Diceros bicornis minor: one gene and its partners. The protein of the gene in region 1 interacts with the protein of each later gene in a biochemical or structural test. Links are inferred from orthologs where the notes say so. Each region holds a gene or a part of one and is shown in the gene's direction. Other genes may lie near its edges.

What was found. The genes of interacting proteins can lie anywhere in the genome.
Region 2: of the proteins of CHUK (region 1) and MAP3K1, one has a biochemical effect on the other in vitro, tested with the Homo sapiens proteins (3 studies listed by BioGRID). The link is inferred for Diceros bicornis minor from reciprocal best matches to the Homo sapiens genes CHUK and MAP3K1.
Region 3: of the proteins of CHUK (region 1) and NFKBIB, one has a biochemical effect on the other in vitro, tested with the Homo sapiens proteins (2 studies listed by BioGRID). The link is inferred for Diceros bicornis minor from reciprocal best matches to the Homo sapiens genes CHUK and NFKBIB.
Region 4: of the proteins of CHUK (region 1) and MAP3K14, one has a biochemical effect on the other in vitro, tested with the Homo sapiens proteins (5 studies listed by BioGRID and IntAct, with this or other methods). The link is inferred for Diceros bicornis minor from reciprocal best matches to the Homo sapiens genes CHUK and MAP3K14.

The regions. Positions count from the first base shown.
Region 1 is NC_080745.1:65,541,872-65,549,428, reverse strand, and holds the start of CHUK (inhibitor of nuclear factor kappa-B kinase subunit alpha), read left to right. Parts: upstream 1-4,540; 5' UTR 4,541-4,579; coding exon 4,580-4,684; intron 4,685-7,557. Other genes in the region: CWF19L1 (CWF19-like protein 1), read left to right, coding at 1,603-1,747.
Region 2 is NC_080759.1:19,158,979-19,166,239, reverse strand, and holds the start of MAP3K1 (mitogen-activated protein kinase kinase kinase 1), read left to right. Parts: upstream 1-4,254; coding exon 4,255-4,736; intron 4,737-7,261. UniProt on the Homo sapiens protein: Component of a protein kinase signal transduction cascade. Activates the ERK and JNK kinase pathways by phosphorylation of MAP2K1 and MAP2K4. May phosphorylate the MAPK8/JNK1 kinase.
Region 3 is NC_080773.1:13,004,745-13,011,929, forward strand, and holds the start of NFKBIB (NF-kappa-B inhibitor beta), read left to right. Parts: upstream 1-4,178; 5' UTR 4,179-4,227; coding exon 4,228-4,406; intron 4,407-7,185. Other genes in the region: SIRT2 (NAD-dependent protein deacetylase sirtuin-2), read right to left, coding at 2,893-2,939, 3,775-3,790. UniProt on the Homo sapiens protein: Inhibits NF-kappa-B by complexing with and trapping it in the cytoplasm.
Region 4 is NC_080757.1:43,655,544-43,663,222, reverse strand, and holds the start of MAP3K14 (mitogen-activated protein kinase kinase kinase 14), read left to right. Parts: upstream 1-4,672; 5' UTR 4,673-4,762; intron 4,763-7,679.

The DNA.
Region 1 (7,557 bases):
CCAGGCCTGTTGGATCCCAAAACGTGAAGTCTTAACCTCGTTATTCTGCAGTATCCTAAAGGTCTGGATAAGGCTTCATTTCTGCTCTTCATATCAGGCAGAACATGACTACGAAACCATACAGAGAGTGGTATAAATTAGGCAAAGACTGAAGACAGGAAGTTACTAGCAAAAAGAGATAATAGTGTGGAGGAGAGTTAAAAATGGGCAGAACAGATTATATGATGCTGTGTCTGTGATTTGCAGCTGTTTTTTTCCCCAGTTAGAACTGAGCTTTGAAGCAACCTTGAACCCTTCTTCAACTAATTTGGAAAGCCTCCCAAGAGATTGCCACCATTGGATAAGTCCAGTTGTCTACATTTTCAAAAAGATAATTGATAAATGAGAACAAGTGTATTAGGAGCTTCAAAAATCTGACATTATCTTTTTGTTGTTGCCTCAGCAATAGGTGCAGATGTGGACAGTGATGACGTAGGCACATGATCGCAGATACACACTGGCACATAAGCCCACAAAAGAGAGATTCTCTGAATGATTTTGTGCTCAACATTGAGTATTTTTTAAAATACTAATTTATAGTTATACAGTATTTTATAGTTAACAAAATACTTAAAAAGTATTTTTTGAAATACTTGAAAAGACATTTTTTCCCCACTGTACAAGAAAGGGGGTTCTATCTTCATTTTATGGATGAAGAAGTAGGCTCAAGTTTTGCCCAGTGAGCTAGAACTTGAGCTCAGGTGCTGTGACTTTTAGAAGACTCGTGTGTTTTGTTTTCAACTTTTCCATTTATTGTAGCTTCAAAGTGGAAAATGAACCATGTAGATGTGCAGATAGAGTTATTTTTAATATATCAAAATAAGTACAAATAAATAAAAATATAAAGCAGTGGCAATTAGAAGGTAGCTTGCATGTATGTGTCTGTCTCTGTGTCTGTATGTAGTTATTCTTTAGTTCTGAGAGCCAAGATAAGTTGTTTTGTTGACACTGAGCTTGTGTTGTTATGCCTATGTAGGCCTGAGTCTCCTAGAAGGAGAGGTAGAAGAATTTTAAGTCAGAGTGGCGCCTGACTGTGTACCATGACCTCAGCAAACCCATGGTCTAGTTGGTGACAAAGCTCCATTTTAAGGCAGGATGTAATCACAGCTAGTTTGGTGCTTTGATTGTGTTATCTGTATACCTCACAAAACCTTATTTTGCATTTCATAGGTAAGGAAATCAAGATTTGGAGGTGGAGTAATCTGTTCAAGTCATAGACAGCACGTGGCAGAGCTAGGGATGGAATTCGGTCTCTGATCTTTCTGACACCAGGGTCTGCCCTCTGGCCTCTACTATGCCGTGTTACTTCCCTGAGTACCAATAAGTTCTGAGTTGTTCAAGAGAGAGCGAGAAAATTGGGTTTGAGGGGTTAGGAAAGAGATAGGACCTGAGCTGGTCAAATGGGTATGATTTTGGCAGAGATGGCACTCAGGGCAAGAGAATGGTATGAGCAAAGTCAGAGGAATTTGCATACCTTCTTGGGGTGATGGCAGGAGAGGAATGGGTGGGAGGGGATTTTGGGCTGATACTGTCCATTTTGACTTCTTTGTGTTCTTTCTGCAGGGAGGTCTTGGCCAGTGAAGCCATCCTTAATATTCCTGACAAGTCTGACTGGAGGCAGTGTCAGATCAGCAAGGAAGAGGAGGAGACCCTGGCTCGCTGCTTCCGGAAAGACTTTGAGCCCTTTGACTTCACTCTGGATGACTAAGCAAAGGGCAAAACACTTTATGAACTTGACAGGAAACAGTAGCAGTCTGTTTTTTTAAGAAACTGCAGTCTCCCATGGGGACTGTTTCCCTGCCTCTTTTTTGTGCATTCCCATGGAAGCTGCCTGCAGCAAGAAGCCTCAGATTGAATATTTTTTTGGAAAAAATCACATTCTAGGATGATAATCCTATGTCTGTCATCCAGCTCCAAGTACAGCTTGTGTTTATCAACATTTTCAAAAACATTTAAACTATCAAATAAAATCCAAATGCTTTTCCCTGGGTGGGGAAAGTATCTTGTGTTCATGTTACCTGTAACCATTGAAATGAAATAGTATGTGTGTGTAAAAGGAGGGGCGGGGCCTTAGGCCCAGCTGTTATCCCAGGATCTCACAGGTGGCTTCTCCTTGAGCAAGGTGCAGCTGGAGCACCCCAAGGCCTTTGCCGTTTTTCTCTTATAGCATTCATCTTATTTATATAAAAGAGCTCATTCAGTCCTTCAGCAAATACTTAACTCTCCTATATGCCAGGCATTTTTCTAGGCTCTAGGAGTATAGCCATGTTCCAACATGGTCCCTGTTGTCCCAGAGTTTGCAGTTTAATTGAGAAGAGAAGGGGCAGATTTAAGAAAAGATGAGTTCTGCTCTGGATATGTTGAGTTTTCGTGTGCTGTTAGATAGTTCTAAACACATGGAGATCTGGGTTGGTGATAGGGCTTTAGGGATCATCAGGGTATAGGCCATAGGTGAGATTATGAGAATGGATGAAAACAAGGGTGAATACAGTCCTAAGCTGAAGATGACTACCTGAGAAATATCAGTATTTAAGCAGTGCTTGGAAATAGAATGATCCATCAAGTACATGAAGGACTGGAGAGAAAGCTCACAGGAGAATGCCGTATCTTAGAAGCCAAAAGAAAGAGATTTGCTGCTATATAATGGGCACTTATGACACAGACACTTTTTCACTTAATCCTCACAAAACGTTTATGAGGTAGGTATTACCTCCATTTTACACATGAAAAAACCAAGAATGGCAAACTTGAAGATCGTTGAGCCTGAGGTCAACTGGCCCTGGATTTTTAAAAAAAAAAGCTACACAGTGACCTTGAGTATGGGGATGTCTAAAGAGTGAACTAGGGGAAACAACCCACTTCCTGCAAGGACAGCTACTTCAGCATCAGCCCAATCATCAGTATCCTCAAGTCCTCAGCATCCTTCCCTAGCTCTTCCAAGTGAGAATTAGATTTCAGCCCCACCTGTGGAGATCAGACATGCTCCATTGCTAGCTATGCTGTACATCTAACAAACAAGAGGGCTTCATACTATTAGGACAATCTGCACCACAATCTGTGCAGTATGCCCAGCTTTAAGGGACATGTTCTTAGACTATTTGCCATCACCTCAAAGTCTGATACTCCAACTCCATGGCTACCAAGCACCTATGTGAAATCAGAATCTCTGATACTGAGCACACATTACTGACAACCTACAACATGACTTGGTTTGTATGATGCAGTGCTCTACATTCTGGTTGAACTGTTCAGGGATTCTGGTGACAGCAGACACATTTGCTTTGCCAAAGGCTGATTCAGTGCTTTCAAAGCAGTTAGCTTTGATGGCGTGCTGTGGTGTACGTGCCATATCCACCTTCAGACATCTGAGCATGTTACATCTGTCATGGCACAACCATGTGTCACAAAACGTTGGTTGGAATTCTAAGTACTGAGTTAACAGGCCAGGCTGTGCAAATGATAGTCCAAGTGCACATGATCTCAAAGGAGGCTCAAATGACTGTGCTTATGGCAGCTGACACATTTCATCAGAGATTTTGATTCTAGCTGATTGTTACACCTGGAGCGATTGATGAAATCCCCAAGTTCCATGTAGCGTCTGACACTCAAAGCGAAAAGCAGAAAAGCGGGAGCTGGTTTCTCTAGGCTAGGGCAATCTGGCACTCAGAAGCACTTCTTGTTGCAGCAACAGTATTTCCCAAGCTTGCCTCTGTAGCCCTGTATCACGCATCAGAAACAATCCCCACAATGAATAACTACCGCACCGGCAAACCCCATAACTGGAGGACTATTTGACCGCAAGCTCCGTGAGGAATTTAGGGAGAAACTCCCGAAGTCAGGAGGAACATTCTTTACTCTGGAACAGCGTCACATCCTTGAGTCATTTGGTTACATACAGGTGAGATCCTGGAACAGGTGTATAGGAAGTCAAGCAAAAGAAGAGCTGAGCCTGACTCGTCTATGCAAGATGATTAATCATTAAGGGAAAAAAAAGTGAACTATGAAAGCTAATGCATCAGTGGGCCTGTTAGCGCAGGATTCTTTCTAGTTCTTCGCATTCCTCAATATTTAAATCATTGGTGGCCTTTGCCAGTGCCAGCTCAGCGGGTGATGAGGTTGGAGGATAGACGGCAGAAGTCTGAAAGGTGAAGTGTAGGTAGGGGTGGGGACGATGTAAAGTCTAGAAAAGACGAATACTGGAGAGACTGGTTTGGAAAGTGATTTGAAGGGAATGTAGGGTCTGGAGAGATCTTATATTCTTGAAGACCAGAAAAACACATGAGGGAACAGGGCTGGTTCTCTCAGCCAGGAAAATGCACAGGGGACTTAGAGAGCGGGCAGAAAACGCCACTCTCCTCACACGATTCTCTCACCTGCAGGGCTCCTGCGGCGCCCCTGGAGAACTTGGGGCGGGCTTTTCCTCCAGCAGTTACCGGAAGTGACGCATACATCTCGCGAGAAGACAGACGCGGGAGCTGTGGCGGCCCGGAACCGGCCTGGGAACGGTGGCGAAGCTTGAGGCCGCTTGCCCTCCCGCCCCATGGAGCGGCCCCCGGGGCTGCGGCCGGGCGCGGGCGGGCCCTGGGAGATGCGGGAGCGGCTGGGCACCGGTGGCTTCGGGAACGTCTGCCTATACCAGCATCGGGTGAGGCGGGGCGCGCGAGGGAGCGGCCGTGGGTGTTTGTCAGAGCGTCTGTGGAACACAGTGATTGTCAGTATGTGAGAGATTGTCGGGGAGATCTTGGGCAGTATTGTGGGCCACTGTGTGTGTGTGTGAGAGAGAGAGAGACAGACAGACGGATTGTGCTTGTGAGCCTGGTGACTGAGTCCGAGGTTGTATCTGAGGTCTGGGTCAGTGTGTTTGAGATAGAGCTGTTAGGGGGAGCTCTTGGTATGAGTGTCAAGGTGTGACGAAGTGTTTACTGAGTGTGACATTACGTATGTCACTCTCTGAATATGGAGAGTGTCAGGGAGTGTGAGGCAGATGCACATCAGAGTGTGTATGTGTGAGCACGAATGGGTGAAGAGGGGGGGCTGCCTGTTGCAATGTGTGTGTGTGCTTGGAGGTCGTATTATCAGTAGGGGCTGGGGTAGACAAGGAAGGTTTTACGGTGAGTCCACAGCTAAGCTTTTGGAAGCACTGGGTGGGCTTTGGAGTTGGCGATGCGTTCCAGGTAGGGAACAGCATGAGGATCAGCTGGTGACAATGATAATGATTTCACAAGGAAAGAAGATAGATCGGGGTGAGGTGCTCTAATCAGTGAAGACACCTAACATCAGACTCCGGAATTTTGCTTTGATTTAATTGAGAACATTTAACCATTGTTAAAGCAGCAGTTAATAATCATATTTGAGCTCTGTGTCTTTTGATATACCAATAAAAGCTGTGAACCCTTTCCCCATAAAAATGCACAGATGCACATCCTCACAACCTTATGCATTGTCATTTGAGGGGGTTCATGCTCTCTTGAAGGACTTTCACAGACCTTTTAGATGTATAGACCTTGGACTAATAATCCCTGCAGTATAGTCTTTGTTTTGTCATCTGTAAAATGGTTATATTAATGTGATTAATATACATCTTGGGTCTGTTCGGGAATTAAATAACATAATAATGTATGTAAAGCTAAGAACAGTAGCTTGCCCATGGTAAGCCCTCAAATGTTAGCTCCTGCTACTGCTGTATTGTTGCTGTTATCATCTTCTTCATCATTAATTGGGCTTAAAAAAGGAAACAAGATAAAAGTAGTGTTCTAGGAAGATTTTTTGTAAAAGATAAATCCAAATGGAAAAACATATGGGACAAAATGAGCAGTTTAAGATATTACTAAAGTGTTTGCAATTGGCCTGTGAATGGAGAAATGAATTCAAGAGGGAAAAACATCATTTGCTGACTTAAGGAATATGGGTGTGGGTAGAGAGACCATAATATAGGGTGGGAGGTAGGGGATATGGCAGTCTACCTGGGAGGAATAGGTATGTTTGGCAGTTACAAAGACGAATATCACTGAAGAAATTTTGTGAAACAGGTTTCTAGATAGAGCATAGGAGGAAATTTTGGAGAGAGGGGGAATGGAAGGTGAAGGACTAAGGCATTAAGTACTTTGACAGGCAGACAAGTAGTAAATTTAATAATTCTCACCATCAGAGAGGATGTAAGGCACTCAAAGAGAAAAGAGAGGGAGCCAAGTAGTTGTAGCGGAATGTTGCCTGTGGTCTTGTTATCTAAGCCTGCCCATCAGCCTGGTCATAAGAAAAAAAGTATGCATGCTGGCATGCTTTTGTGACTGCTTTTCTTGGCCTCTGGCTGGAGATGGATGAATACATCACTTTTTTGTTAAATGTGGTAAAGTATATATATCATAAAATTTACCATTTTAACCATTTTTAAGTGTATAGTCTGTGGCATTTAAGTACATTCACATTGTTTTGCAACCATCACCACCATCCATTTCCAGAACTTTTTCATCTTCCCAAACTGACGGTCTGTACCCATTAAACAATAACTTTTCATTTCCTCCTCCCCCAGCCTCTGGCAACCACTGTTCTACTTTCTGTCTCTGTGGAATTCATCATTTTTTAAATGGAAGAGATTTGGGTTCCTCTAGAATCTTAGAAATCTCTCAGGAACTTTCCAGTTGTCGAGTGGCCCTTCCTCCAAACTGGGACATTTGACAACTGAGCCTGTAGTGAGAAGAGAAGAAATACTCTGTTATAAGGCTTGGGAACAGCATCATTCCTTTTCCAAGCCTGACTTAGGGTTTGCATTTACAGCTTTCAAGCTCTTTGTGTTTTGATGGAAGCCACGTCCCAGTGTTTCATTTACGCTTCTTAAAGCACAATGAGGAAGAGAAAAGGACGTGAGCTGGTTTATTTAGCTGATTACTGTGCTGGGTGCTGATAGTGCCCAAATCAACAAAAACAGTATTTTCTGGCCTTAAGGCGATTTCAAGTGTAGTGGGTGAGGGAGACACAGAAGCACTTTAAGTACAGTGTGATAACCTGTATAACCAAGTTATTTGTAAAGTGACATGGAAGAATGGCAAAATAACCAAAGAAGTCTTCCTAGGGAACAGGGTAGCACTTCTCAAAGTGTGTTTGGAAAAACAAATCCCATGAAATGCTTTGATAAAAGGATACTATGGTCAAATACATTGGGTAAATGCTGCATATAATATTTCTTCATTTGGAGATTCATAACCCATGTAGCATATTAAAAGCCCTGAGAAGTCCTGTAGTAAAGAAATTAACTTAGTATTTTCCAATTTTTAAAATTGTGGTAAAATACACGTAACTTAACATTTACCGTTTTAACCATTTTTAAGGGTACAGTTCTGTGGTGTTGGGTACATTCACATTGTTGTGCGACCATCACCACTGTCCATCTCCAGAATATTATCATTTTTTTAAACATAGAACTCTTTTTTTTTTGGCCAGACATGTATAAACTTTCCATGGAACATTCTTTTTGAAAAGGTAGAGTAAGGAAGGCCTTCACAGAGTAGGTGAAATCCAAAC
Region 2 (7,261 bases), on another chromosome or scaffold:
TCACTACAGAATTCAGTTTTGGATTTTAAGAACATGCAAATACACGTAAAATATTTAGATGGCTGGTTAAAAAAAGGGAATCATAAATATATACATATGTGTATATATAGACACATACATACATATATTTTTACTTTAGCTTAAAACATAAATAACAAGGTTTTGTTTTATATGGTGTGAGGTTTTTTTTTTTTTTTTTTTGTGAGGAAGATCAGCCCTGAGCTAACATCCATGCCAATCCTCCACTTTTTGCTGAGGAAGACAGGCTCTGAGGTAACATCTATTGCCAATCCTCCTCCTTTTTTTCTCCTTTTTCTCCCCAAAGCCCCAGTAGATAGTTGTATGTCATAGTTGCACATCCTTCTAGTTGCTGTATGTGGGACGCCCCACAACATGGCCAGAAAAGTGGTGCGTCAGTGTGTGCCCGGGATCCGAACCCCGGCCGCCAGTAGCGGAGCGCACGCACTGAACCGCTAAGCCACGGGGCCGGTCCCAGTGTGAGGTTTTTTAACCCGTATTTGGCTGTAGGGCCTCGGTCTTTTGAGTGTGGGTCCACTATTTAGAGTCCCATGTATCTTTCTCACATATCTCGTTGTCTACAATTTTCACTTTTAATTCTTTTAAAACAAAGTGAAAACTGATGAATGCTTGCAAAGTTCTAATAGATTTGAATGCTTTTTCCCCAATCTTTTACAATCGTCATATCCACAACTAATTTGACAGAGACTTTTTTTAGTGTCTTACCTTCATTCATTCTTTCAAAGCATTTAACTTAGTTTTCATTGGAACAACTTTCTTTTTGCACTCACATACATTTTATTAATCCAATAATCAATTTAATAGTATTTAATTAAACATCATAGGGACAGTTATAATAGGTGTAATCAGGTTTGGGAATAGGTATGATGGTTTCTCTTGGGGCCCATAACTCAGCAGGTGGGAGCAGAAGTGTGCCGGTGCCATGAGCATTCATTGTGCTCTGGCATCCTCTGCATGTTGTATGCCACACCGGGAATGATAGGCATCTGTTACTGGGTGAGTCAGCTAAATGGAGGCTGGTTAAGAAACTTGCTACTATAGTGTCACCTACAGTGTCCTTGTAGGGGGCCAATTATCTCACAAATGATAAGATTTCCTGACTTAGAACTTCTGAAAACATCTGGGACGTGTGGTGTCTGGAAAGAGCATGGAGAAACCAAGTTCTAGCTCCAACTCTACTGCAAGTATTTCATAATAAGTATTTACAAGCCTGATAGAACACCAGTTTTGGCTCTATTCTCAAGGTTACATTCTTACTCTTTATGTCTACCTAAGACAGATCTCACATACAGAGGCATGAAAACACACACACACACACACACACACACACACACGAGTGATGGATCTGAAATTCTACCAGAGTCAGCCCAATAAGTACCCACTAATAAAAATATCTGTAGATGGGAATGTTTTATTTATTTAATTTTGTAAATACAAAAACAACAAATAATACTCCCAGAGAAGAAGAAAATTCCTTTCATGTGCATAGCAGGTGCTTAATAAATACATGATGAATGAGGTACAGGCTGTAGAATCTGTTCATTCTAATATCAGTGATATTTATGCACAATGAGGAAATGCACCAATATCAAACTGGATCCTCCAAATGAATGTGGTGTAGGAACTGAAGTGTGACTTTGGCACTTCCCAGAAGCACTATGTGGAAGCAGTGATCTGTAAAGCACAGGCATAAAGGTTACTAAAGTTGTCATGGCATAAAGGAAATCACTCACAGCAACGTTTCTATCTGAGAGGGGATGGAAATAAAGAACTTGGAAATAGTAACTGGAGTGTTCAGTGTACAAGCAACCTTTGAGGAGATACAAGTCTCCTGTATGTCATTAAAGAAATCAAATTAAGGCAATTCGACATATGCTTTGTGCAGTAATTTAAAGCAGGACCCAAGAGCACCAAAACCAGAGCTAGGGTCTTAACCATGCTTAAGACACAGAAACCACAACAGCAATCATCTCATGGGATGATTCTCCTCAAAGAAGTCTTTGTATTAACGTATGACACAGGAAGAACACCCCTCTCAGTCAAGGAAATCCTCTATTTTTCTCTCTTGAAAAAAAGTCAGTTTGTCAGTGTATAGATGTATAGTGACAACTGGAATATTTACGTAAAAGATTAAGGGAAAAATGACTCAAAGCACCAAAAACTAGGTGAAAGACCAGCACTTAGGTTTCTCCACGGCAGTGTGCCGTGGATGGAGGAGGGCAGAGAGCTATGGCTAGTTGATAATGTTGCATTTGGTACTCCTCTCACTTGGTCCCATTTTCATCACTGTGTACAAATACAGAGGCAAAAGTAAGTTTTGCAGGAATCCCTTTCTACTTTGCTACTCTGGCCAAACTTCAAAATTGGAACAAACTTTTGAATGTCTTTTGAAAGGGATCCACTTACTTCTCTCATTCACAGGCACCTGAGCATGTGTATGCACATGTAAAGGTTTTTCGATCTAAATAGGAAACAGGAAAGTTTATCCTTTTCAATTTAGGATTTGGTGGGTGGGGCCATCCGGGAAGACCTGGGAAATAACTACTGTTTGGTTTGGATGGTACACTTGGCTACCATTAAAAGCGCGTATAATTAGAGCCTAAATGTAGACTTAAAATTTTAACAGATTTATCTAAACTTTCAAAATTTGTACCTTTGGATGTAACTATCTTATGGTAGATGTTGCAGCAGTATTTAAAACATTGAGCTAACATGAAATCAGGACAGTTTAAAAAAATCCCTGGGATATCAACATCCTCCTCAGTTAACATTTACACCCAGGAAGGGGGCTTTCATTTTATCTACCTCCAAGAAGTCAAAGGAATTGTTTTGTAGACAGTGCAGACTTATGTCTAAATATATGAAGTCTGACAAGATACCTCTCTGCTTCCTGTTCTTGAGGAACCCTCCCCCTCTCCCTCCGCCCCGCACGACTTAAAGTTTCACAAAGTCAGTCCAGGGACTCTACACCCGGGTTGCGGGAGATTTCCCATCACAGACAATCTGGCTCGAGGAAAAGAAGGGAGGGGAGAAATAAACTTGACGCAGAAGCTCTACTCGCCTGAAGAAAGGTCGCAAAGCATTAACGCGTAAATGGTGCTTTTCCCTTCCAAAGCACCTTATCGCCGAGACGCCCCCGGGGACTGGAAGGGTTGGGAACGCCACGTTAGGCAACGCGGCCACTGCAGGGGTGGGGGCGGAGGCAGCCCCGACCCTGCCGGAAAGAGGGACGTGCCGCACGCCGCATCGAATTCGAGGAGGGCCAGAACCTGGCCGAGGATGACAGCGAGCACTTCCTGGCACAGCGTTGGTTCCTTCCCTAAACGTGCTCTATCTGGCCCTGTATACCGCTGCCTTTCCCAAAGACAGCGGAGCTAAAAATAAAGATCCACAGGGACCCCCGCCCTTCCCTGTCTCTCTAGCCGGGGGCGGGGTAGGGGGTAAGAGAAGCGTCCCAAATCGGTGACTTTAGATTGCGAACAAGACATTCCAGGAAACTTTCAAGTTTTATTTGTAGCACGAGCCGGAGGGAGGGGAGAAAAGACCAGGAAAGCTTTTTAAAAAAACTTTTTTGGTGCGCGGCAGCACGTCTGCTGAACGTTAGGTTTCTTTCGCTTTGCAGCCGACGACAGCCCCGGGCGCCACCTGCGTGTCCCGCGCGGAGTGGGGGGGGCGGGTTGGTCCGCGCCCGGGTTCCCCGACGCCCACTGCAAAGGGCAGTGCGAATGACAGACTGCAGGCTCTCTCGCCTGCGTCCCCTTCAACGCACCACACACCTAAGTTCGAACTGCAACTCCCGTCGGGCGAGCTCCGGCCGAGCCGGGCCGAGATTGCGGCGGAGAGGAAGCGGCGCGCTGCCGCCCCGAGGCCCCTCCTCTCGCCGGTGCAGCCCGGGACTACCTGGCGGCGCGGCGGGTGCAGCGCGCAAAGTCCAGGGCGCACCCCCGGCGGCCCTGTCCGAGCCCACCTCTCCGGGCCGCGCGCGGGGCCCAGCGCACAGCTCACTCCCCCCACCTGCCAGCCGCCGTCCCCCGCGGCCGAACTCGGTGCGCCACCCGCCCGTCCAGGCCGAGCGCCCGGCGGGCCGCGCTCACGCAGTTGGCGCAGGCGACCCTACGCTGGCGGCGCAGCGCCCGCCCGTCCGCCCGCCCCCTGCACTCTCCCCGCCCCCTCCCTCCCTCGCAGGGGCCGAGCGAATGTAGCCCGCGAGAGAAAATGGCGGCGGCGGCGGGGAATCGCGCCTCGTCGTCGGGATTCCCGGGCGCCGGGGCGGCGAGCCCCGAGGCGGGCGGCGGCGGAGGGGCCCTCAAGGCGGGCAGCGCGCCCGCGGCGGCCGCGGGGCTGCTCCGGGAGACGGGCAGCGGGGGCCGCGAGCGGGCGGACTGGCGGCGGCGGCAGCTGCGCAAAGTGCGGAGTGTGGAGCTGGACCAGCTGCCCGAGCCGCCGCTCTTCCTCGCCGCCTCGCCGCAGTCCTCCTCCACTTCCCCGTCGCCGGAGCCCGCGGACGCGGCGGCGGGCGGCAGCGGTTTCCAGTCTGTGGCGGTGCCGCCGCCCCACGGAGCCGCGAGCCGCGGCGGCACCCACCCTTCGGAGCCGGCGGCCGCCCTGGACAGCGGCGCCCCGAGCCCCGCGGGGGCCGAGCCCGGGGAGAAGCGGACGCCCGCCGCCGAGCCGCCTCCTGCAGCGGCCCCCGCCGGGTGAGCAGCGCGGCCGGGGGCGCGGCGGGGACTTGGGGGGCGGGCGAGCGAGGGCAATGAATGAACCCCGGGCACGGCGCACGGTGTGCCGGGGCTCCGCGCGGAGAAGCTGCGCGCCGCTCTCCGGGACCCGAGTCCCCGGGCACCCCCTTTGACTTCTCCGGGGTCGGGCGGCGCCCTGGACCTGGCCTGAGGGACAGGACGGGGGCCCGGGGCGGCGACGTGCCAGAGAGTTTGTTATTGTTTGCAGACATGCGACAGGCGTGCGAGGCGCGCTGCGGGGACCCGTTAAGATAAGATGTGGGGGCCTGGGCTGGCTTTGTGGGGCTCCCGGAATCGGGGCTCTCCGAGGAGCCCCGGTGCAGGACCCTGGCGCTGCCCTTGGGGCCGGGCTGGGGGTCGGGCAGCAGCCCGGCGGCGGCCTCTCCTGGCCGAGGGACGACGGGGATGAGGCCCGAGCCTGCAGGCGGGTGGTAGTCAAAAAAGGGGCGGGGTGGGTGGGGACCCCCAGCCAGAGGCCCGGTGGGGGGGCCGGAGGGCGGAGGAGAAAGCGGCGAGGTCCCCGCGGCCGTGACAGGCAGAGCCCCTCGGCAGGTACTGGGGGCCGGGCGCGGACGGAGGCGGTGCGCCCGCAGGGGGCTCCGGGTGGACGGCTCGGTAACGCCTGTCAAAGCGGTGCGGGCGGACGGCTGCAGACTCGCGGGGGCTTGCAGTCTTTTAGGAGCTGGTGTTTTCTAATTGCGTGCCCCACTGGGGCTCCGGGTGTTCTTGGGAATGAGGACTGCATCGCTGAGACTCGAGTGACTTCTGTTTGGAGTTTGAATTTGGCCTTTGAAGTTTGCATTTGGCGGAGTGGTGTAAGAGCCAGGACCGGATGTGTCAGCCATTCAGTTTCAAAGCGGCGGGGACTGCGCCCCGCAGCCTCTCCGGCGTGGTCGGGGACCGCGGCGCGGGTGCGGTGTTTCCCACTCGGTGCAGCTGCGCGGGCCGCCGCCGACTGCCGGATTCCGGGGGCCACAGCGCGGTGGGCTTCGCCTCAGGTAGTCCTGTGGGGTCTGTGCATTACGGTGTGTGTTAGGTAACTCAGACCAGCGGTTCTTGGCCTGACCCTTTTTTGGCAACTGGAAATGTTCATGTTAAAGGAAATTCTTCTAAGTGTGACAGCCGTAATCCTTGTTTAAAAAAAAAAATCTGACTGCTGTATGCAAAGCACAGTCTCCATGGGTATTTTGAGTTGCTGGAAGTGTTTTTGTGATCGTCACCCATTGCCCTGTAGAATTTTCTGAGTTTTATTCTGAGTATTTTAAAGATCGTGTCTTATGTTTGTTTCCCATGTGAGACGAAGTTGACAGTAGGGATCCTCGGTTTTGGTTAGTTATCTAAAGTGATTTGGCAATTTTTTTGAACTTGATTATTTATTTGTTAAAACTACAGTTCGTTTATTACTTGCAAGTTGCCCCCTCCACTACCCCCCCAACCGTAAAATATATGGTCAGCACCGTGCCATGGCAATATTGAGAGGAAAGGAGATTTGTGGCTGTGATAGTTCTGTGTGCTCTTGTGCGTGTAACTTAGTCTTAAAAGAGTTATGTTCCTCTACACTTTCCTGCTTCTGTGCAGATTGGATTAAACCTTCACTAGAATAATTCTTTGGAGGCAGTTGTTACTACAAATGAGTTCCAGATAAAAATATTAAATCCCAAATTTGAGAAATTAATTGTATCTATCCTCATGAGACCAAGTTTTTGGATGCAGTAAATAATTTAGCAAGTGTCGTGAATCTAGTAGAAGAGCAACCACTGTAAAAATAACGTACAGAAGCTGGTTAGTGTTATCGCCACACAAAATAAGAGGACTAAAGTGGAGGCACATAGAATTCAGGGACTAATTCATGCTTAATTCAGGAGTAATCCATGCTAAATTTTTGCATTTTAAAACCTAGGTCTTTTCCCCCTCTTTGTTTAAGGGGTGATAATAATCGCACAGTATATGAAATAATGGGCTATTCAGCATAATCATTTTTTTAAATGAATTTCATGAGCCGGAGTGCTGTTTGTTCACTCCAAATGTCATACCTAAAGATTTCATTGATAGTAAAATGTTGATTCTCTGTCCTTTTGAAATACAGTGAGTTTTTCCCCAATATCCTTGTCAGTGGGGTTGAAGTATTTGGTGTAAACACTTTGATTATAAGCAGTTCAGTAAAATCTCAACTGAAATTTATGTTTTACTTTTTTGACAGTATATAGTTACATTCATACTTTCAGGAGGAAAATCTAACATTGAGATTTTGGAATATTTTTATGTTTCTGTGGTAGTTTGGGTCTGGAGATTCCTTCTTTCTAGAGACCTATGTTTTTTTTTTAAAGAGAATTCTATGATTTTTTATTTCAGAATTTCCTTCAGTTTTTGATATTTGTAGGTAGAAATTCAAAGTGTAGAAAATACATTTGTAAAGTGTAGATTATATAAATAATATTCATGTTAAAAATAGAAGATTTTAAGTTTGTCCGTCTTCTTCGGGG
Region 3 (7,185 bases), on another chromosome or scaffold:
GGGGTTTGGGGGAAAGGCTCTGCCTGGGAGGTGGGCCCGAAGACGCGAGGGGCGGTGGAGGGGCATGCTGGGGGCCAGAGTGTGGGCACTGGGACAGGCTGCCTGCAGTGGAGACCTGGCCCTGCCCCTCGGAGGAGCATAATCTCGAGCGAGCGACTTCGCTTTTCTGAGTCCCGGCTCCCCTTATCTTCGACATGGAGCTCCGAGGGCGCCCACCTCGGAGGGCTACTGTGACATGAGGTAAGTTAACCTACGTGAGGTGCTTAGAACAGCACCCTGCGGGGCGAGTGCTCAGGAAGCGGTGGCTATGGTCACGATCACGTGCCTGGTGTCCACAGCCACGCCCTGCGCCCCTCTTGGCCCCTGTGGTGTGGGTCTCGCCCCGTCCCAGCACCCCACAGCCCTCCTCAAAGGCATTCCTGGGAATAACCCAGTGGGAAGGCCCCGGTCCTCGCCCTCCTGCTTGAAGCCCTGACACCACCTCTCCAATCCCTCCACTGCCCTTCTCCACTCCTCCCCTCGGCCAGGCTCCCTGATTGCAGGTCTCAGGGCCCTGTCCCCGGCCCTCCCTGCTGTCTCTCTCCACCTTCCCAGGGCTGCCTCATCCCTGCCAGTGGCCTCAGCCCAGTCACTGACGATGTCACCTCTCTGTCCCCAGATCCAGGGTTCCCGCAGCCTCCTGGATGCCTCCCCCTAAGGGACCCCAGGCCCCTCACTCCCACCGAGTCCCAAACGAGCCTCAGCATCTCTGCCACACCTGCTCCTCCTCCTGGGTCCCATCTTAGCGTGGCTTCCCAGTCGGCCAGACACTTCCCGCCTCCCTCCCCTCCCCTCCCGCCATAATGTGTCCCCTCCCAGGGCTCCAGCTGGTCTAGCCCGTCCTCTCCCACCAGGGGCCCTAGGCTCTCAGCTTCGGTCTCTCCGGTCTACTCTGCTACCCTCCTCGTGATGGCCTGTCCGGGTCAGCCCGCTCGCCTCCACTGCAAAGACCCTTCCCTTTGGCTTCTCCGGTCTAATCATCTGATCATGAACAGCCAGAGTCTACCACGATATCGGCTCCACGAAGGCAGGGATGTTGCGTGTTCACCCCTGGACGTCCAGCACAAGAACAGGGTCTGGCACCTGGCAGGAGCTCCAGAACTATCCATCACTGAACAAATACCTGCTGTGTGCTGGGCCAGGGCTGGGCCCTGCAACAGACCTCATAAAAACACAATTCTGACCAACTCACTCTCCTGCTTAAACCCCTCCTACAACCCTCTCCCCCATTACTCCCTCTCAGGTTCCAAGCCTTTTAGTATAGGAACCTCCTTTCTAAACATATTTAAATTGTTTTATTGCTTTTTAAGATTATATAAACTTTGCAAAAACTCTGACCATTAGACAATGTATAACTTGGGCACTTGCCTGGTAATTCTCTCACCCACCCCGGCGAGATAACAACTGCTATTAGCAGTACAATCATTACTCCAGATTTTTTCTCTGCATAGAAACCTCACTATTTTTCCAGAAATGGGTCATACCATAGTACGATGCTGCACCCTGCATTTTCCTTGGAACAATACACTATAGACCCACCTCCTTCTTTTAAGCAGCTACAGAGTTGCATTGTAAGGATGCACCATAGTTCATTTCACCCGTCTACTGACAGCCATTCCGGCTGTTTCTAGTTTCGCCCTGTCACAGACAATGCTGCAATTTACATCCTGAATCTCTCTCTTTGGGACTGAGGATTCCTTTTTAACATGCAACCTTTTTCTCTGACAGTAGTCCGGCTTGGGGAGCCAGAGGGAGAAGCCCCGGCCTGATGGAGGCTCTTATACTCTCTTGCAGGCAGCTGTGGGGTGCTCTAGTCACAGCTCTGCTCTGTCCCCCATCTGAACAGCAGCCTCGCGTCTGTGGGTGGGCTGGCACTCTTTCAGGCTGCAGACAGTGAGGCTCTGTGGAAGGACTCGAGGGCCCTGCCCAGCACGTGGGGGCAACTTGGCTTAGGGGGAGCTGGAGGTGCTGGCGGGGCCTTCGAGCCTCTGTGAGGCGGCCTATCTACCTCTCCCCAAAGCATCTGGAAGGCACTGTGTGTGTCAAGTGCTGTGGGTTGCAAACAGAGGACAAGAGGCTTGACAACTCTGCCTCAAATTCCTCATCTATAAAATGGCCACGATAGATCTTGCCACGCACAGGGATGCTGGGAAGATGAAATGCGATGATGCATATAGAACACTAAGCAGAGCACCTGGTTGGAGTAAGTACCCATGAATATAAGTAGCTGACCACCCCAGCCACCGACTACTGAACACATCACCCTCTTTCACGCCCCTCCAGCCTTTGCACAGGCTGGACCCTCTGCGTGGAACATCACTTCTCATCTTGCCTAAGGAAACACTAAGGCACTCTTCACTTACTATGATGTGTCTGTACCTCAGTCTGACTCCTAGACCAGCCTGTGGATTCCTCCAGGGAAGGGACTGGCTGGAATCTCTGTGACCCCACAAAGTTGCCTCTGGGCTCCCACAGTGCCCTGAGCTACTTTCATAATCGCCCTGTAGGGTCATTTTCTAGTCATTTGTCCATGAGATCCATGAGTTCAGGGACCAGATGGGATACGTGTCTCTTCCAGCAATGACACAAATGAGGTTCAGAAAGGTTGGCGGAGGTGGGGAGGTGGGGGAGGGATCTGGGGAGAGGGCCTGGGGTTGAGGCTGCACGACCTTCTCTGACAGTCCCCAGAATCCACCATTCCCCAGGAGGCTGACCGGGGAGGTGGGGTGAGGGATTGGGGCAGCGAGCTGAGGGCCCTGGGATAACTGTCTCCCCTCTGTCACCTCCCCCAGGGGAGTGGGGTGTGGGAACAAGCACATCTCTCTCCTTCCCTCCACCCTTTCCCCATCTCACCTGAGCTTCCTGCACCTTCCCTGCCTGGGTCTCCAGAGGGTCAGAGGCTGGGGGAGGAGGGGGAGTAGATGTGGTTACAGTGGGGGGAATGGTTAGGGGGAATGAAGGGCTTCAAAGTAGGGGAGCAGGGGGCAAGAAGACTCACCAACCTAGTTATACTGGGGTGGGGGCAGTGGTAGTAAAAACGGAGTAGAGGGAGGGAGGGGATGGGGAAAAGCAGATCTTATTTGAGTGGAGAGGGCTGGGGGGAGAGGCGGTTAGTGAGGGACAGAGGCTGGGACGGGAAAGTTTAGGAGAAGGAGGAGAAAGTAAAGCATATAGGGCATGGAGGAAGACAGGAGGAGGTAGGGAGGACATAATAGTATGCGAGTGTGTGCGCGGAGAGGGTCAGGTTTACAGGCAGAGGGAAGTTTAGAAAGTAAGAGAAGATGAGAGATACTCTGACTGGAGGCAGGTTTGGAGAGGAGGCGTGGTGGGAATGGTAGGTTTAGGAGAGGCACAGGAACTAGAGGGAAGAGACAGGAGGGGATATAGGGGTCCCCTAGCTTCCTACAGCTCCCTCCATCAACCAGATACCCTTAGCAACCGGGACCGCGGCAACCTAAGTCCTTAGAAACGAAGGTCCTTAGCGACCAAGGTGCGAGAAACACGCAATCATGGGTAACTTGGGGGACGTGGCAAACGGACCCTTAAAACCTCGCGACCCAGAAACCCACCGACCTAGCAATACGGATCACTTAGCAACGGCCCGCCGAGTCCCACTCGCCCCCCTACGCAGCCCCTATCTGCTGCCCCATCAAGCCCACCCTCGGGCCCCGGGGCCTGCAGCCCTCAGCCAGGCCCCGGCGCGGCCCGACCCTCCCACCGGGGCCCCCGACTCACGGTCCGGCTCGGCCATGGACGCGGGGCGGGAGCCCTAGGAGCTGTCACCGACTGCTCTGTCCCGTGACGGCACCGGAAACAGGAGGGACAGACATAGGGCAGAGAACTACAACTCCCAGCAGCCATCGCGGCCGCAAACAAGCTTTCGCAGCCTCTCAGGTAATGAAGACTCCCGAGGGCCAGACTACGAGTTCCAGAGTGCCCCGCGCCAGCAGCCATGTTGGTAAAGGGCGCCCGGAAAATGTGGGAATGGGTAGAGAGCCGCAGTCCATCTGAATACTCTGATTGGTCACAGTGTGGTACGGGGGTGGGGCATGTGCTATTTAGCCCACGCTGATTGGGTGAGTCAGGGGGCGGGTTGGGGAATTCCCCGCAGGGCGGAAGCGCCAGACATCCAGGCAAAGCCCAGCGACGGGCGGGCGGCCGCTGGGGGCCCCTGAGGCTTCGGGGGCCATGGCCGGGGTCGCGTGCTTGGGGAAAGCCTCGGACGCCGACGAATGGTGCGACAGCGGCCTGGGCTCTCTGGGTCCGGATGCGGCGGCCCCCGGAGGACCGGGGCTGGGCGCGGAGCTGGGCCCAGGGCTGTCGTGGGCGCCCCTCGTCTTCGGATACGTCACTGAGGATGGGGACACGTGAGTGAACCTTAGGTTGCCTAACCGGGCCCTAGGATCCGACATCTGATTCCCTGTTAGTTTCTGATCCCGGCTTCCCAACCTCTCATCCTAAATCTGACTTCTGATGCTTGACTTCCTGATCTCTAACCCCCAAGTCCTAACCTTTAATAAGACCAATTTCCTCTCCAGCTTTGATCCTAATCCAATAATTTCTGACCGTTCTTTCTTGAACTCAGGTTCTCAGATTTCCACATCCCTATCCATTGATCTCAAAAGTCAATTTAACCTTCCTGACCCCAGTCCGGAGACCTTTGTTAGAACTGTAGCTAAGGCAGGCCCTTCCTGACCTCTAATCTCCAAATATGATCGTTGATCCTTAGCTCTTGATTTATGAGCCTTTTTCTTTGATTTCCCAATTAATACTTGGCCTTTGACTCTAAGATCCCACCTTCTGAGCACTAGTTTTCAAATCTTACATTCAAAGAGAAAATATAGGCTCTGTGACAGCAGGGATTCATCTGTTAAACAAATATTTATCAAACGCTGCCATGTTCTAGGCCCTGTTTGAGGTGCTGGTAATAAGGCAAGAGAAGAAAACAGACAAAAACATATGCCCTGTGGAGCATACATTCTAGTGGAGGTATGTGGACAGCCAGACAGACTGACAGACAGACAAGAAGGAAGGGAGGAAAAAGAAAGAGAGAGAGAAAGAGAGAGAGAGAAGAAAAGAAAGAGAAAGAAAGGGAGAGAGAGAGAAAGAGAGAATGAAAGGGAGACAGAAGGAAAGACAGACAGACAAGACATGGAGGAAGGCACAAAGAAAGAAAGAGAAAAGAAGCGAAAGACGGGAAGAAACTAAGACAGAAAGAAATGAAAGAAGAAAAAGAGAGAAAAGTGGTATGTTAGAAAGCAGTAAGTTCTTTGGACAAAAATAAAGCGGGAAAATGAGACAAGTAGATTGTCTGGGGAGAAGAGCAGTCCAGGGAGAAGGAACAACAGTTGTAAAAGCCGAGGGGGGGTTGTCCCTGGGTTTGTGTGTTGTGTTTTCTCCTGTCTCCCCATAGGAGCACTCAGTAAACATTGATCTTCTCAAAGAACCAGCTTTGGTTTCATTACTTTTCTCTATTTTTTTTTTCTTTCTATTTCATTGATCTCTGTTCTGACTTGCATTATTTCCTTTCTTCTGCTTACTTTGGGTTTAATTTGTTCTTCTCTTCCTAGTTTCTTAAGGTGGAAACTGAGGTTGTTGATTTGAGACCTTTCTTCTTTTCTAATCAAGGTGTCGTGTGCTGTAAATTTCCCTGAGTACTGCTTTAGCACTATCTCACAAGTTCTGATATGTGTGTTTTTCTTTTCTTTTTTTTTTTTTTTTTTGTGAGGATATCAGCCCTGTGCTAACATCTGCCAATCCTCCTTTTTTTTTTGCTGAGGAAGACTGGCCCTGGGCCAACATCCGTGCCCATCTTCCTCCACTTTTTATGTGGGACACCGCCACAGCATGGCTTGCCAAGCAGTGCGTCAGTGTGCGCCCGGGATCCGAACCAGCACACCCCAGGCCGCCGCTGCGGAGCCCACGCACTTAACCACTTGCGCCACTGGGCAGGCCCCTGTGTGTCTTTATTTTCATTTCAATTCATTTAATTCAGTATAATTTCTAATTTCTTTTTGAGTTCTTCTTCGGCCGGTGGATTATTTAGAAGCATGTTATTTAGTTTCCAGATATCTGGGAGTCTTTCTAAATATCTTTCTTTTATTGATTTTTAATTTAGTTCCATTGTGGATGAGAACATACTTTGTATGACTTGAATCCTTTTAAATTTATTGAGACTTGTTTTATGGCTCAGAATGTTGTGTGTACACTTCAAAAGAAAGTGTATTCTGCTATTGGTAGTGTAGTGTTCTTTACATGTCAGTTAGAGGTTGTGTTGGTTATAGCATTGTTCAAGTCTATATCCTTGCTGTTGAGTTTGTCTCTTTGTTATATCAGTTGTTGAGAGAGAGGTATTGAAATCTGAAACAATAATTGTGGATTTGTCTATTTCTCCTTTTTGCTCCATGTAATTTGATGCTCTGTTATTAGAGGCACAAATGTTTAGGATTATTATGTCCTCTTGATTAATTGATTTCTTTATCATTATGATATAACCTTCTCTATCCCTGCTAATATTCCTTGCTCTGAAATCTACTTTGTCTGATCAGAAAATACTCCTGCTTTCTTTTGAGTGACTCGTGTTAGCCTGGTATATCGTTTTCCACCCTTTTATTTTTAACCTTTTTTTTTTTTTTTTTTTTGGTGAGGACGATCAGCCCTGAGCTAACATCCATGCCAATCCTCCTCTTTTTGCTGAGGAAGACTGACCCTGGGCTAACATCTGTGCCCATCTTCCTCCACTTTATATGGGACGCCGCCACAGCATGGCCTGACACGCAGTGCATCGGTGCACGCCCGGGATCCGAACCCTGGCTGCCAGCAGCGGAGCGCATGCATTTAACTGCTACGCCACGGGACCGGCCCCCTTAACCTATTTTTTAATATTTATATTTAAAGAATGTTTCTTGTAGGCAGCATAGAGTTGAGTTTTACTTTTTAAGTCAACCTGACAATTTCTGCCTTTTAATTGGAGTGTTTAGGCCGTTTACATTTAATTTAATTATTGATACGGTTATGTTTAAGTTTATCAGCTTGTTATTAGTTTTATACTTATGTCTTCCTTGTTTCTCTTTTCCTCTTTTTCTGCCTTCTTTGTGAAGGAGTAAATATTGTTCCATTGTATTTCTTTTGTTGGCTTCTCAGCTT
Region 4 (7,679 bases), on another chromosome or scaffold:
GCTTCCCCCTCAAGTCCCTCCAACCCAGGGGTAGCAGTGGATTCCCGGCCACCTCGCCCTCTCTGGCTGGGCTTCCCGGCTCTTCCACCCTCCATGTAACCAATTCCTTGCATTAAATTCCAGGTTTAAAAAACTCAGAATGAGTTCTGCTTCCCTGGTTGGGCCTTGCCTGATACAGTAACTCTATCCATCCTCTCATCACTCTCATCACCTGGAATGACTTACGTCCTCATTTGTAGTCACTTATTCAAGGTCTGGCCACCCACTAGACTAGAAGCTCCCTAAGGGTAGGGACTAGTCTGGAGGCTTTGCGCTCCCTCCGCAGGGCCTGATGCAGTAGGCGCTCAGAGCATCATATTTGTCCCTGGCCGCAGATGAGACCTGAGATAAGGTCACTTGACTAGGAGGCAATTAGTGGGTGTCCATGGAGAGAAGGGGTGGTGGGCAGAAACCAGACTGCAAGGGGTACATGCAAGTGGGGAATGAAGCAGACACCAGGAGTACCAAGAAGTTCGGGAGTTGAGAGGGGAAAGAAAGTTGGGTCAACAGTGTAGGAGAAAGCCAGGATAGGGGAAGGGCTTTTGTTTTTTTTTCTTAATTTGTCTGTTTTTAGGCTGGGGAGATGATCACATTAGGAGGTTGAGAGGAAGAAGCTAAACGGGAGAAGTCGAAGGGCAGGAGATGCAGGGACATCGGAGGTGGAACACATGACCTGGGTGGTCTCTTGGGAGGATTACATCCACCAGCAGGGTTGAGGACAGTATGGAGAGGAGACTGGAGGCAGGGACGCGAGTTAGGAGGTGATCACCAATCAGGAAGTGAGAAGAATTTGAATCAAGCCTTAACCCAGGGCTCCCTAAGAAGGCTCCAAAGTTGGGAGAGGTCTCAGAAGGTATGTCCAGGACCTGCTCTGGTAAGGTCGTTTTTGCCAGGGAGACCCCCACCCAGGCAGCTCCGTCCTTTGTGGAGATCAGCACCTCTCCTCCTCACTCACATCACCATGGCACCACCTCTTCTCCAATAGCTCTGTGGTTCCTTGTAGCCCTTTCCATCTCCCTACGTGGGGCACAGAATTGGTCGGGGGCAGTCAGGGTCCAGAATCTAGTAAACGTTTAACAACAAGCTCGGGGGCGGGTAGCCCTGCCTTATACCGTTTGCCAATTTCCACGGTGTAAATACTCCCACCATATCCAGTTTCAAGCTACCAACGTGAGGTCACCAATGGCACAGTAGGAAGAGAGCTCCAGCACATCACTGCCTGCAACCATTCCCTCCCCTGCCTCCATGGCCCCTCCACAGACTCTGGACTGGGCGGAAGCAATGGGGCAGGTCCAAGCCTGGGAGGGCAGCGACAGCACCACAGCTGCAGCCTCAGGCAGACCCCTGATAGGGAAAGTAAAACTGCCTCTCCTCCAGGAACACCCACCCACAGCCCCCAGTCATCTCTGATCTCAGCATCTCATCTGAGTTCTTCTCAAGTATAACTACAGGATCTCACAGAAATCTGGACCTGCGATCCACAGACACTCAGATGATTCACAAGCCACTTTCTCACTAGACGTGGCTGGACATCATGAACTGGGCTGACTAAGGCAATAAAAACCAGAATATAATTTCCTTTCTTCCAAAGCAAACAGAAAAGCAAAAATGATCCAAGGATAGCATTCTCTCACTGATGCACAAAATGCACTCACTCTTCACCACACTTCTACAGAACTGATGGGCAACTGGCTCCTTATGGCCCAAAGTCTCTTTACAGAGTCCTGCACGCAGGAGGGCAGGGGCCCTGGGGTCCGCCTGGTTTGAATCCCAGGTCTTCTATTACAGCAAAGTGACTTTGAGCAAGTTACTTCTCTCTGAGCCTCAGTTTGCTCATCTGTGAAATGGGATGATAAGTAAGAGATACTTACTCTATGGGGTTAGACTGCAAGAGTTCTCAACTGGGGGCAATTTTGGAGACATCTGGCAATGTCTAGAGACATTTTTTGTTGTCACAACTGAGTGCAGGGGCCTAGTTACTGGCGTCTAGTGAGCAGAGGCCAGAATGCTGTTAACCATCCTACAATGCATATGACAGCCCTCCACAACAAATGAATTATCCAACCCAAAATGTCAATAGTGCAAGGTTGAAAAACCCTGGGCTAGAGGGAATATTCAGTGAGGTTATGCACACAAAGCACTTAGAAGTGTCTGATTTACTTTTTGTAAGCTCTCAAAAAACAGAAGCTGCTATTCTTTTTGGAAGAGCACAGTCTAACCCTCCTATTTCCAGACTTGAACCCTTGGGGTGGGATATGGAAATCCTTGAGTGCTGAGAGCCTGGCTCACTGCTCCAGGTGTGAGTCACCCTGTAAATGTCAATTTATTTTATTTAAAACAGAGCTGAGGCTGCACAAATGACTCAGGGCTAGAAGCTTTCCCAGGTTGTCGTGACTTAACTGGCTCGGCTGAGAGGAAGTAATTTTGCCCTGAAGCTCTCCTTCCAGAAGGTGCAAGCATTTTAAGGCTCCACAGTGCTTACTCCAGTGGGTGTTGTGTTGTTTCTCACCTCACCCTACACACAGTGGGGCTTGGAAAGACCTGAGAAAAGCAGCTGAAACTTCGAGGCCCTGCTTGTCCCAAACACCGTCCTCACTAGTGTACGGTGGTTTGTTTCTCCTCTGCAGCCTGATGTGAAATTCCTTCTCACGAGTCACAGTTTTGGGTCAACACAGCCCACTCTCTCCCACTAATACACATCTGTGTTCACGGATGGATTTAAAGACAGATAATCTTGATGGGGGGGGGGCGGCATGGAGGTGAACCAGGACCAGAGAAGTCTCAAGGGAAGCTGGGTAAAGTGTGTGGGCATTGGCTGTCCTAAAGAAGGAATGGTGAGAGAGGGAGAAGGCAAAGGCGAGCCAGGGAGTGTCTGCAGACTCTGGGCCCATGCCCACGACTTTCCTGAGAAGTGGTGTGCCCAGAGGCAAACAGGTGGTGGGAGAGGCTACAGGCTTGCTGATACCGACCTGTAACCCACCATCTGGCCAAGTTCCGCCTCTCCCTGAGTCACTGAAATGAAAAACCCTGGCGTTGGAAGGAGCTTTAGGGTTCACTAGCTTCTTTCTTGCCCACCATCTCCCAAGCCAGCCAGCGGCAGAGCCAGTTTATGCATCAGAGACCATCCAGCTTCAAGCATGCGCACCATGGGGGCCACAACCTCAAATGCTTCAGGGGCCAGACGGACGACATAAGGTTAAGAGGTTGAGTGTAAAACAGGGGTAGGGGCTGTGGGGAACTGCAGGCTCTGCGCTAAGGCATTCAAACTCAGTTTTAAAAAAAACATTGGGCCAGCCAAACAAAACATACCTATGACCTGTGTGAGTGGGTGAGGCCCTTAGGTTGTGAGTTTCCCACCTCTGCCTAAATAAATGGTCTTACCTATCCCCCAACAACGGAGATGTCTGTTGGGTGCAGATCTCCAAAAATAGTTACCAAAAACTGTCTGAAGAGTGATCCTGAGCAGGTGGCCTGGCCTTTGTTCAAACACTGCCAGAGATGAGATGATCCTTACTACTCAAGACAGCCTGGGATGCGACCTGCCTACCCCACCACTGAAACCAGTTACTACACCTGCCTGCCGTGGACCACTGATGAAGGTGTGGTGCCCAGGTACGTGCACATCTTTTATTTTGCCAACCTTTAAAGTTTGGAATTTTTTATTACAAATCAAATACACGCTCACTGTAGAAACGATGGCAAGGGCAGATAAACGAAAGTTAGAAAAGAAAAAATGTCCATACCTCCCCTAACCGCCCAGCCCCCCGCCTCCCATCAGAAAGAAGCACTGTTGACACCTTAGTGCGTATTCAGACTCCAGGTCCTTTTTTTGCATAGGTAAAGCTCTCGTCTTTCCGGCTGTGTAGTACTCGCACCACGTTGCTTCTCCGGCTGTGGGAAGGGGGTGCACCATGCCATCCGCGCGCCTTCTCATCAGACCTCGGTTTCCACACACAGGTGTGACCTGTGTAGGCCTTTGGCTCCCCAAGCTTCTCGAGCAGGCACCAGAACCTGTCTTACTCGTCCTCAGGGACTTTACAGTGCTAGGGACATAGTAAGTGCTCAATAAAGGTGATTCTAACCGTCCCCCCGCCTGCTTACGCCGCCACAGCCTCAGGCAAAGAGGAAGCAGAACCAGACCCTAGAGACAGCGCCTCGCCGTCTCCAAGGTAACCGAAGTTCGAACCTGGGGAGTGCCCACGCATGCGCACACTCGCCCTTCCCTCCCGTAACCTCCAGAAGAACGCAACCCGTAAAAAGACTGCCACAGCCGAGCGCGCATGTGTGGTTACACCTACACTCGGGTCGCCTCCGCCATCTGTCAATCCGTCCGCCCAGCAATCTCTTCCCTATAAACATCGTCCGGAAGTAGTGCCCATTTCTGAAAACGAGACCTCGTTAACCAATCGTTGCTAGGGGCGGTGCGCCGGGTCTAGCCAGGACGCGCTCTCATTGGTTATGTTGGAAGAGTGGGCGGGGCCAAAGGTCGAGGTGCGGCCACAGCAAGGAGGCGCGAAGCGAGGCAAATTTGCAGCCGCCGGGGGAGGCGTGGCCCCGGGGGAGGCCGGGAAGGCAGTGAGGGGGCGGGACCCGAGTCCGGGGCGGGGCGACCGTGGGGCGGGGCGACCGTCGGCCCAGAGAGCAGCGGTCGGCGACCGGCGGCGGGAGATCGCGGGTGAGGGGAGCGCAGCGCTCGCTGGTTGGGGAGATCGGCGCTCGGCCGGTAGGTGACGGGGCGGGACCCCGGGCCCGGAGCGGGGATGGGTCGCCCCTCAGCCCGGGGCCGGGCTGCGGCCTGGCCCGCCGCCCCAGAATGGGGGGTTCGGCGGCGCGGCCGGTCGGACCCACTCGCGCTCGAGCCCTCGGCCCTGGCGGCCGGCAGCCGGCGCGCCCTCACGCACGCTGCCAGGGCCACGGTCGCACGCCGTGCTCGCCGCACCCCCGCAGGCCACACGCTAGCCCGGAGCGCGCGCAGGGGTGCCCTGCTTCCCCTTCCCCGACATCCCCATTCCCCGGCGCTCCCTGCCTCACCAGCAGGCCTGCCTCTCCTGCTCCGGTCCCCGGGTGCCCCCAGGAGGGGGCCTCGTCTCGGCACGGGACGGAAGGTGTCTAGTGCTCAAGTGCGCCCGGTCTGTGCGCTCTCCCACCTGCCCTGGCAGTGAAACCCTCTGGCCTTGCCTGGGAAGTTCTCGGGTCACACCCCGAGGCGGGGAGAAGGAGGAGAGCCTGCCCTTGGCACCCAACGGGGTAGTGCTGGCCACTCGCAGCATCCTCTTCCTTCCCGTGACCCCTCTGGAATTCTTCGGTCCGCTCCACTCAGGACTTGATCTGTCGGCTCAGATATAATATTCCCACCTTGGAAGCCCATCGTGACCCTGGCAGCCTGCAGCCACCCAGCACCAGGGAGAAAGAGGCCACTTGTACAGTGCAGAGAGTCCCACCTGCCTCCTTGATGTTGAGTGACTTCAGAAAAAGCGTTTCCTTCTTGATTGAAGTTAAAGTGTTGCTCTCAGTCCTAAAGGGTGGACTGGGGAATGAGAGTGAGGAGGAGAGGATGAGTGGAGAAAAGATCCAGAAGTTAGTGGTGTAATTGGCAAAATTATTTTTGTTAACTGGAGACGATGAACACCAGTGACTTGATTAGGACTCTAAAAGCAAGTAAAGTTAAAAGATGAGAGGTGGGGCCTAATACAAAATAGCAGTCTGAAGTTTATTCCAGGAAAAATGTTGAAAACCCCTTGACTAGAAACATGGTCTTTCTGAAAGATTAGAAGGAGATAGTGTCTTCACATTAGTGATGTGTTTTTTACTTAGTATCTTCATACCTGTAACCTTTTTCCTTCAGATGTCTGTGTGATGGGATAGATAATATTGTCCTATTTTATAGGTGAGGCACCTGGGGCAGGAGGGGAGAGGGAGGTATATATCTTGCCTAATGCCTCATAGCTAGGACTCAGGATGAGGACTCCAGCCTGGGCCACTGGAGTCTTGTCCAGGCTCCTTCCCCTGGACCAGGACCACATTATGGGACTTAGATGCAGGAAGGAGGGAGAAGTGTTTGGTGTGATATTTATGCTCTTAACATAAGAGGACAGGTGCTTGTCTTGCTTACGATGTGTTTGGACTTACTCTTGGTGTTTTCGAAGTGATGTCAAAGTGAGTTCTTTTGGTGCAGCCATGCCAGACCTCTAAGTTTTTCAGACACCTTTAGGACATCCTCATTTATTTTGAAGGGTGTGGTGAACTTCTCAGAAGGTCTCAAAATAAAAGTAATAGTCTCTGACTTTAATTTTAGAAATACTTGCCCAGGTATACATTCCAGCACTTTTGTGAAATCGGACAGCCATAAGCTGCCAAACTGTAGGTCATTTTCTGACCGTTTTCAGATTATAGGAAGCAGTTCTGAAGGGGGTTTTTTGCCCCTGGTGTTGCCTGTTAGAGTTTGTGGGAGAGGCACCCCAGACAGAGACCCTGCCAAACGAGCCTTCATCTATTAAACAAAAATGTCTGGTTGGCCGTTCCGCCTCAACAGATGGAGGTTTGGTTCCTCATTTTGGTTCTCCTGTTGAACACTGACTCCTTTGTGATCTGCTTGGAGTGTTTGTATATCATTTAATGTTCAGAAGCAGGCTCGCCCTGATTGGTTGGTTGTCTAACTCCAGGCAACTGTTGTGATTTTTTTGGTGGGTGATAACAGTTCATCGTGGCCGAGGTCTGGTGAGAGATCTGTAGAGATGCGAAAGAGGTAAAGCTTCATCCAGGGTTGTTTTCTTCATTGTTGGCATCCTCTTAAGAGTGTCCTGTCACTTTGGCCTGTGAAGCCACTTTTAATTTCCTATTTTTTTCCTGTCTCAATGGATAGCACATGAGCTTTCCTAATGGGCTCCCTGCCTTGATGAAGAGCTGACAGACTCATGGTGGTTGGCTTGACAGATGTTCTTTCTGGGAGGATAGTTAAGAGATCTTAAAACCAAATTCAGTCCTGAATTAAAAGTATAAGTCAGCTCGATACACATATAGGCAGCATATTTGTACCAATGGCTTTTATCATCTCAAAGCTGTTTTTTTTTTTCCTGGCAAAAGGTTAAAATGCAACTAAAATTCTGCTTTCATGATTAATAAGTCACTACCGCAGTTGTGTCTGATGCTTCCTGTTTGCCCCATTTTTGTATTTCAGTTAAACTGGAAACATCTGAGCATTATGGGCACTTTTGATGGCACCAGTGTGAAATTGGCGGGAAGGGGGACAATTCCTGTCAGTGGATTTGGGAAACTCTAAGGATAAGCCAGCCCCTCTGGCCTCTGCACACCCAGATCCTCAGGAAGGGAAAGGAGTGGGGGTTGAGTCTCTTCAAGGGGTGGGTGAGCATTTAAAGTGATGCACGTGTGAAGGCTTTGCATTTACTTGGTGATGCTGACTGAAATGTTGAAAGCAGTAGATTAGAAATGGAAGGCCAAATATAGGGCAAACTGTGTAGTAGAACATTTCAGTTGAGCTGAGCAAGACATTGAAGTATGTCAGATATGGGGTCTTTAGTTCTGGGCTTGTCTTACTACCTGAGTGACAATGCAGAGAAAAGATGTTTTTCCTCAGTGGCCTGTGTGCCCGTCTTTGTATTCTAGTTTAAAAGATCCTCTTC